Linked DNA regions of Macaca fascicularis. The protein of the gene in region 2 purifies or fractionates together with the protein of the main gene of each other region. This does not show direct contact. Links are inferred from orthologs where the notes say so. Each region holds a gene or a part of one and is shown on either strand. Other genes may lie near its edges.

The links. Proteins that work in one complex are often made in the same cells at the same time.
Region 1: the proteins of PINX1 (region 2) and TERT purify together in Homo sapiens (co-immunoprecipitation; 3 studies listed by BioGRID and IntAct, with this or other methods). This does not show direct contact. The link is inferred for Macaca fascicularis from reciprocal best matches to the Homo sapiens genes PINX1 and TERT.

What each region holds. Positions count from the first base shown.
Region 1 is NC_088380.1:1,609,539-1,613,106, forward strand, and holds part of TERT (telomerase reverse transcriptase), read right to left. Parts: intron 555-3,568; coding exon 428-554; intron 1-427. UniProt on the Homo sapiens protein: Telomerase is a ribonucleoprotein enzyme essential for the replication of chromosome termini in most eukaryotes. Active in progenitor and cancer cells. Inactive, or very low activity, in normal somatic cells.
Region 2 is NC_088382.1:10,071,983-10,076,017, reverse strand, and holds the start of PINX1 (PIN2/TERF1-interacting telomerase inhibitor 1), read right to left. Parts: upstream 2,862-4,035; 5' UTR 2,725-2,861; coding exon 2,706-2,724; intron 1-2,705. UniProt on the Homo sapiens protein: Microtubule-binding protein essential for faithful chromosome segregation. Mediates TRF1 and TERT accumulation in nucleolus and enhances TRF1 binding to telomeres. Inhibits telomerase activity. May inhibit cell proliferation and act as tumor suppressor.

The DNA.
Region 1 (3,568 bases), on a different chromosome or scaffold from region 2:
CCTCTCCTGTGGGGATCCACCCCATCTCACCCTGTAAGGAGGGGCGCTGGTGCTGAGGACCTAGCAGGGTGAACATGAGGGGCCCTTGATACAGGTTATGTGCACACATGCTACTCACACCGCACACCCACACGCATGCACCTCACATGAATCCCACACGAATGCACATGAACACACATGCACATCAGGTATGCATTTGCATGTGCACATTCATACTTGTGCCCTTGCACACCTGTGCACACACTGCCATGCCTTCATGTACACACACACGTATGGCTCGCGTGCATCTGCGCACATGTGCACTCTTATGTGCAGCCAGTCACCGTCAGCCTTGCAGGCACGCACACACACACGTACACATGCGTGCACACAGTAACACACATGCCTCTCGAACTCTGAACTCTGTGCTGACCGTCAGCCTGCTCACCTGCAAATCCAGAAACAGGCTGTGACACTTCAGCCGCAAGACCCCAAAGAGTTTGCGACGCATGTTCCTCCCGGCCTTGAAGCCACGGTTGAAGGTGAGACTGGCTCTGATGGAGGTCCGGGCGTAGCTGAGACACAGGGGGGACGTCAGACACGGGTGCCTGCCCCACACCCAGCCCCCTCCTGCAAAGCTTGCTCCAAAGAGCCTCCTGCCTTCCTCCTGCTTCCTTGTCCTGCCTGGGGCACGCGCTGTAGCCTGAGGGAGTCGGGTGCTCTCTCCGTGGACTCAAAACGCTACACGCCATCCGGACCCTGCATGGCCAGACTCCACCAGGACGTGGCTAGTGATGTTGAGTGTATCCAAGCCTTGCACGGCCGTGTGTGTGCACTCATCATCTGCCCTGATGAGATCTGCACATAACTCGGCCAAAAATACATAATAAACTATGGAGCCCTGACTCCCAGGCGTCCCTCGAGCGGACACGGGTGTGACTCAGCTTCTCTGTGGGAGAACACTGAGTCGGGCATGGGGAATCTCACTGTGTTTGAATCTCATGGATGGAAGAGCCAGGTGGCGCCAGCTAAAGAGGGCTCCAGTGAGTGCACGTGGCACACACAGGGTATCTCCAGAGGGGCAGGATGGAGGCATCCCACCGACGTCCTCTAGGGCCCTGCCACCACTCACTGCCCGTGTACATCCGTGTCCAAAGACGAACACACGTGACATCCACAGCGGGCTCCCTGGGCTGCGTTCTTTTACATCCAGCTTTGAACACTGCTACATTGAAATAAACGTTTTGTGCCATTAAACATTCTTCAAAAATTCTTTGAAAACATGTCTAACAGCAGAGTTAAGTTTTGTGATACATAGTATCTGCTTAGCCCTGGATTTGGGCGGGTTGGCGACTTGCTGTGGCAATCCCCCCCTCCCCCATACCTGGAGCACTGGAAATGGGAAATAAGACCCGTGATAATGTCTGGTCACTTCAGAAGTGGAATTACTGGGAAAACACAGGACATTGTAAGGACTTCCATGCAAACAAGCTGCTTTCCAGAAAAGTCTTTCCAACTTGCCTCACCCTGATGCTGGCTCTTGGGAAGCCCAGAAAAGGAGCCAGCACAAAGGACGGGTCTCGCTGTCAGTTTCACACGCATTTCTTTGATGCTGCTGGTAGAACCTTCCCAAGTGTGCATCAGATGTCCATTTCTTCCTTCACAGTTGTCACCAACACAACCTTGGGCTCCGGCTAGCCCCGAGCCTGTGGGTCTGACCTGTGTGGGGTCCTCAGGCGGAGCAAGGGCCCCAGAGCAGCAGGCCAGGCTGCAATCACACACGCCCCTTGCCAGCTGGGTGCTACCCTGGAGGCCTTCTTCATCTACCTCTCAGGTGGTTAGGAGAACAAAGTGAGAGGATGAATGTGCAGGACCTCACAGAGTGCCTTAAATAAATCATGTGCACAAATGCTCCAGGGAACAGCCATTTTCACTGCGGCTCAGGCAAGCTGAGTTCCTCTGCGTGAAAGCAATAGCTGTTGCCTCACTGGTTTCATCTACCTCCCTCCGTGTCCTTCCCCAACACCAAATCAGGGAACGTTCACCTCCCTTCCCTTTGAGTCTTCCGTTTTGTTTCTGTTGCTGCTGTTGTTTGCACGTCATTCCTCTTCTACCTAGAATCTGCTCTGGTACATGTTGTAAAGACACAACTTATTTGCTTCCAGTCAGTTTTCTCAGAAAACAAAATTAAACACACACTCTCTTTTCCGTCAGCTGTGCCACATGCCACATTTAACACACGTTTCTGAGAGGTAGGGCTTCCGTTTTGTTCTATTGTACTGTCCATCACTTCTCACCACATTCTGCCATCTAAGCTGTGGTTTGGGAGACTAAAATCTGGACAAGAAAATTCCCATCTTAACACTCTTCCTTTTTCACTTTTCTTAATCATCTTGCCTGTTTTCTTCTCCCAGATGCCCTTCAAGCCTTTGTATGCTTCAGACACAGAGGACGTGTGTTCACCCCGAGTGCGGCGAACCACTGCCTCTACTGCTGAGCTTTTACAACCACCTCTGCAAGCAGGCACTCTGACCAAGTGGCCTTTGGGAGCACAGAATATTCTGGCATTGAACCCACATCTGACGACCTGATGCCCACCCATCCTGCACTAGCCTTTGTGGCTTTGCAATGTGTTCAGAGAGAACCCATTTTCCTGATTCGTTTGTCTGTCTGCTTTGTCCTTCAGTAACATTCACTGATGCTGTGCCATAGGCCGGAACCAGGGGTGCCTGTCCTAAAAAATACATTTCATGGGGAGCAAAATAAACAGTGGACAGTTCACGGCTGATGGTATGGCCAGTGCTGCAGAGGCGCCTAGGGAGAGGCAAGGAGGTGCCGGGAGCCCAGGAAATCTGCAAATCACCCAGACAAAGCCAGCAGAGGCCAGGATCAGGTGAGGCTGGGAGGGGGAAACAGGGACTGTGGGGAGCACAGGGGACCGGTGTCCTGGTGGGGAGGGAGCTGCAGCAGGGATGTGCTGGGCACCATGCACGAGGGCATCTACACCTGCCACTCCCCCAACATGAGGGTGTCCGCACCTGCTGCTTCCCTGTTAAGCAAACCCCAGGGAGCATTCTGGAAAGAGGCAAAGTCCAGATCCGGACTGTTAACTCAGAATGACAGGACCCCAGTTTAAACCACTGGTTTAACAATCATCCAGTAAGGGATTTAAAAATCCCTTATTTCTCTTCCCATGAAGCCGTGCCTTTTAGAGGAAGGCACCCCCAGTTCCGGCCTCTAGCACAGCACCAGTGGATATTATTGAAGGACAGAATAAAAAGCACCTGTCCACCATGGTTTTGGAATGCTGATACTTTTTGCCTTTTTTTAAGGTGAAGTCTCGCTCTGTTGCCCAGGCTGGAGTACAGTGGTGTGATCTCAGCTCACTGCAACCTCTCCTGATTCTCAATGATTCTCAACCTCTCCTGAGCCTCAGTGATTCTCCTGCCTCAGCCTCCCGCATAGCTGAGACTACAGGCGTGCGCCACCATGCCAGGCTAATTTTTGTACTTTTTAAGTAGAAACGGAGTTTCACTATGTTGGCTAGGTTGGTCTCAAACTCCTGGCCTCAAGTGATCCACCCATCTCG
Region 2 (4,035 bases):
ATCTCAGCTTTGTTCACTAACAGAGCAGGCCTGACTGCTATCCTTTGAAAGGCCTGTTTATAACAGGGAACCCAAGGGTTCCTACCATTCGCAGAACTGATAAGAGTGGCTCATTGTTCCTGTTTACACAAATGATATGGTTTATGCTGAATGCCTGCTTTCCTTCTAGGAGCCTGGAATTTTGGGGCCTGCCAGGTAGAGGGTGTCTATGTGCCCAGCCCCCAGGAAATCCCTGGCACTGAGTCTCTCTAGCTTCCCTGGTGGGCAACATTCCACATTTGCTGTCAGAACTCACTACTGGAGGAATTAAGCGTGTCATGTGTGACTCCCTGGGGGAGGGCTCTGGAAGCTTGATGCCTGCCTTACTCTGGACTTTGTCCCATGCATCTTTTCCTTCTGCCGGCTTTGTTCTGCATCCTTTTGCTATAATAATCTTAGCAGTGAGTGCGACTACATGCTGAGTCCTGTGCCTGAATCCCCCAGCACATCGCTGAATCTCGGGATGATCTTGAGGACCCTTGACACGATCTGGAATAGCAGTGTTTACAGCATGGCGCTGGACTTCAGGTAGAATGCCCTAAATCTGCAGAATCACTATTTGGGATGTATTTAACCATCCTCTAGCAGCTACTCCTATGTGGAGATCTAACTGTAAATGGATCTGTCGGGATACTTTTGGGCAAATCCAATAAAAACCATCCACACAACAGCTCAATGCCACATGACTTATGCTAGAATCCCATTTACTCTAAAGGGCGTGTTGAGTCCCAAGAGCCAGGAGCAAAAGTTTTAAACAATCTCTCAAAATTCAGAGGTTGATCAGAAGGAGCGAATTATTATACTAAATTTGGCCTGAGGAGGCCTCCGTACTTGAGTCCTTACGTAAGGAACTACAACCTACGTTAGAACTTAAGCGAAGCGAAAGCCTATCGTAGGAGTACACTCTTGTAACATATAACTGAGTCTCAATCCTTTACAGCAGCTGAGCATCAATCACAGGCAGCCAGCTGATTCAAATAAGGCAAATCAGAGCGGTAACCCTAACCAAGTTGTCTCGGTACCTCACTTACGTTTACTGTCCATAAATACTGCCTGACAGCATAGGCTTGGAGTTCTTATAACCTGTTCTAGTTCTGAAGGTTGCCTAGTTCTTGAATCATTCTTTGCTCAATCAAACTGTTTAATTTGTCTAAGGTTTTTCTTCTTAACAACACCAATCCTAAATATCTAATTACAGAAGATGCTATACCCATTTGGCAAATTATGGAGAAAAAAAAAACACAAAATGTTACATATTATAATGACAAGGATTTGACAATTTGGAATAACGTTGGGAAAGGAGAACTGAAAACACTCTCTTGAAATCATGCAATCTGAATTACGGATGTCTACAAATAGTATTTTACACCTCTACAGATTTTTCCTACTATGTTCATGTTCACCATCTCATTGATTTAAGGCCACCTGGAGATAAAGATAGTAAGAGAAGATTTTAGTGGCCTCACAAACACCGATCAAAGGAACAGACATAAATGAATAGCAGAATTAGGGCCAAAGTCGCCAAGTGCATGCTGAATTGAGCAAACATCAAATACGAAAACCAGAAGAGATCTTAGCTATCTAGGCTCTAACCCTGACTCCTGATTTTTTACTGGTGAAAAAATAGAACCCACGGGTTCAGTCTAAAACATACTCATTTCTATGGGTCTCCGCTGGTCTTACTGGCAAGAATATAAAGATACAGAGATAACTGGATCAATTTTGCCATTTTCTAGCTCAATGACTAGGGGCAAATTATTTTCCTTTGAACGTCAATTTCTGCCCCTGTAAAACCGGGATGATGACTGACCCATTTTGTTTTGTGCTCCTAGTCCTCCATCCTCTTAGAAAAGAGTGCTAACAGCATTTATTTCACAAAATCTCTGTGCTGGTCTGGTTGATCTGTTAAATAAGCTGTTTCTGTTCATTGCTCACTATACAACTCACAAGAAGGACCCGCTTTTCAGGATCAAAGCACGACTGCCATCTGGTGGCAAGCGACCTTAGCTGCAGGCACAATTCAGAAGTTCAGCAGCCTCTCCAGAGACAGGGGTTTCACCCGCTCCACAAAGTGAAGGTAAATGTCAAAGGTAAACAGGCAGGACCGGGCGCTGTGGCCAACAAGATCAAAAACGCCGATCTCATTTAGAATTACGCATTAGCCCTGCACTACTCCCCCGCTAAGTGGCTGACGTCCCATATTTGAGACTTCTAACTCCTTTGCTTTTCTTTTTCTGGGTCCAAGACATCTTGGACAATGTGATTACAGTTCGAAGTGATCCTTCTGCTCAACCTTCTCTTTTTAACCTGAGGAAGCTGAGGTCCGGGGGCAGTGAAGCAACCAGTCCGGGTCCCCACAAAGGGCGGCGGCGGGGCCAGTCGCGGGACCCGGTGTTCTGACCCACTTCGCGCGCGCCCCAGGGTGACTGTGAGGAAGGCGTCTCCGGGAGACACTCGCGGTCTTTCTCACTAGCAGACCCGCGGCCAACTTTCGGGGAGCTCTGCGGCGAGCAGGACAAGCAGAGCCAGGCTCGGCTCCCCGGTCCCCCGACCCCATGCGCCAGGCGCGCCTGGAACCCGCGCTCCCAGTCACTTGGGACTGCCGTGCGGGTCACCCAGCATCTTCACCGACGCGCCCGGGTCGGGCCTCTGCTTCTGACACTCACGCTCAGCCAGCATAGACATGTCGGAGAGCCTGTGATACCGCGGCCTCTGGACCTGGGTGACTGCGGCCACTGGGCGGGCAGGAAACTCCACGAGAATCAGGACCAGCGTAACTCCCTCGCAGGCTGACTGCTGCAGACGGGGCGCGTGCTGGTGACGTCAGTGGCGCGCGACTCGCTCCTCGAGCACGCGGCGGTGAGAGGGCGGAGCAGGGCGGGGCAACCTGGGGCGGTGACGGGACGACCAGAGGCTGAGGGGGCGGTGGCCGCCCGGCGGGAGGTGGAGAAAGGAGTACGTATTCGCTCATTGGCTGGAGGGAGTGTGCGTACTAAGTGATTGGATGTGAGTAAAGCCCGCCTGGGCGTGTCTGCCGCGGAGTACGCGCTCACGTGGGTTACCTGTAGGGTCTCCATTAGGAAGCCGTAGGTGCCGGCAAGGAGGGTAGTGGAAAGACGTGACCTGCCCTCAAGCAGCTCAGCCTCACGGGGAAAAGAAATGTGTAAAGAGCTGAAGTTAGGGTCATCAATGTTGTATGGACAAGGAGTTTGAAAAACTTGGCTGGAGGGGAGGACTTTGTACTGTATTGTCCCATCTCTTCTTCATACCCTACCTCTGCTTTCTGAGATAAACAGATGGATGATAGATGGATAGATGGGTGGATGGATGGATGGATGGATAGATAGATAGATAGATAGATAATTAGATACTAGATAGATAGATAGATAGATAGATATTAGATACCAGAAGATAGCTCTGCTATCTATCGGTTTTTGTGTGGGACCCGATGGATGGATGGAGGGATGGATGGAGGGAGGGAGGGAGGGAGGGAGGGAGGGATATGAGAGATAGATATTAGATACCAGAAGATAGATCTGCTATCTATTTATCGGTTTTTGTGTGGGACCCAAACTTAAACAGGTAACTAGTTCTGGGGAAAATGTTATCTCTTTAATTAATGGGATGCCTTCAACAAGGCAAAGATTTTATTTATTTTCTCCACCACAGTGCACACACTGGAACGTTGCCTTTATCATATCCATTTCTGTATTCGTACCAGCACCTCGCAAAATAATGTGAGTACGGTAAGGCTCCATAGATGTTTGCAACATTTAATTAAAGTGTCCCTGTCTCCAGGGGAGTTCTAATAAGATCCTAGCGATAACACTTTTAAGTATGGTAAACACATGTTTTTGGATGAGTGACTCTCCGGTAAACTTCAGGTGACAGTGCACACAGAAGCCTTTCCTACATAAAAGGAAGGTAAAAAGAGACAACTCAGACGCCAAGAAAAGCAATTGAAGATTCTCGTTTACAATGAAATTCTCCCTTTAG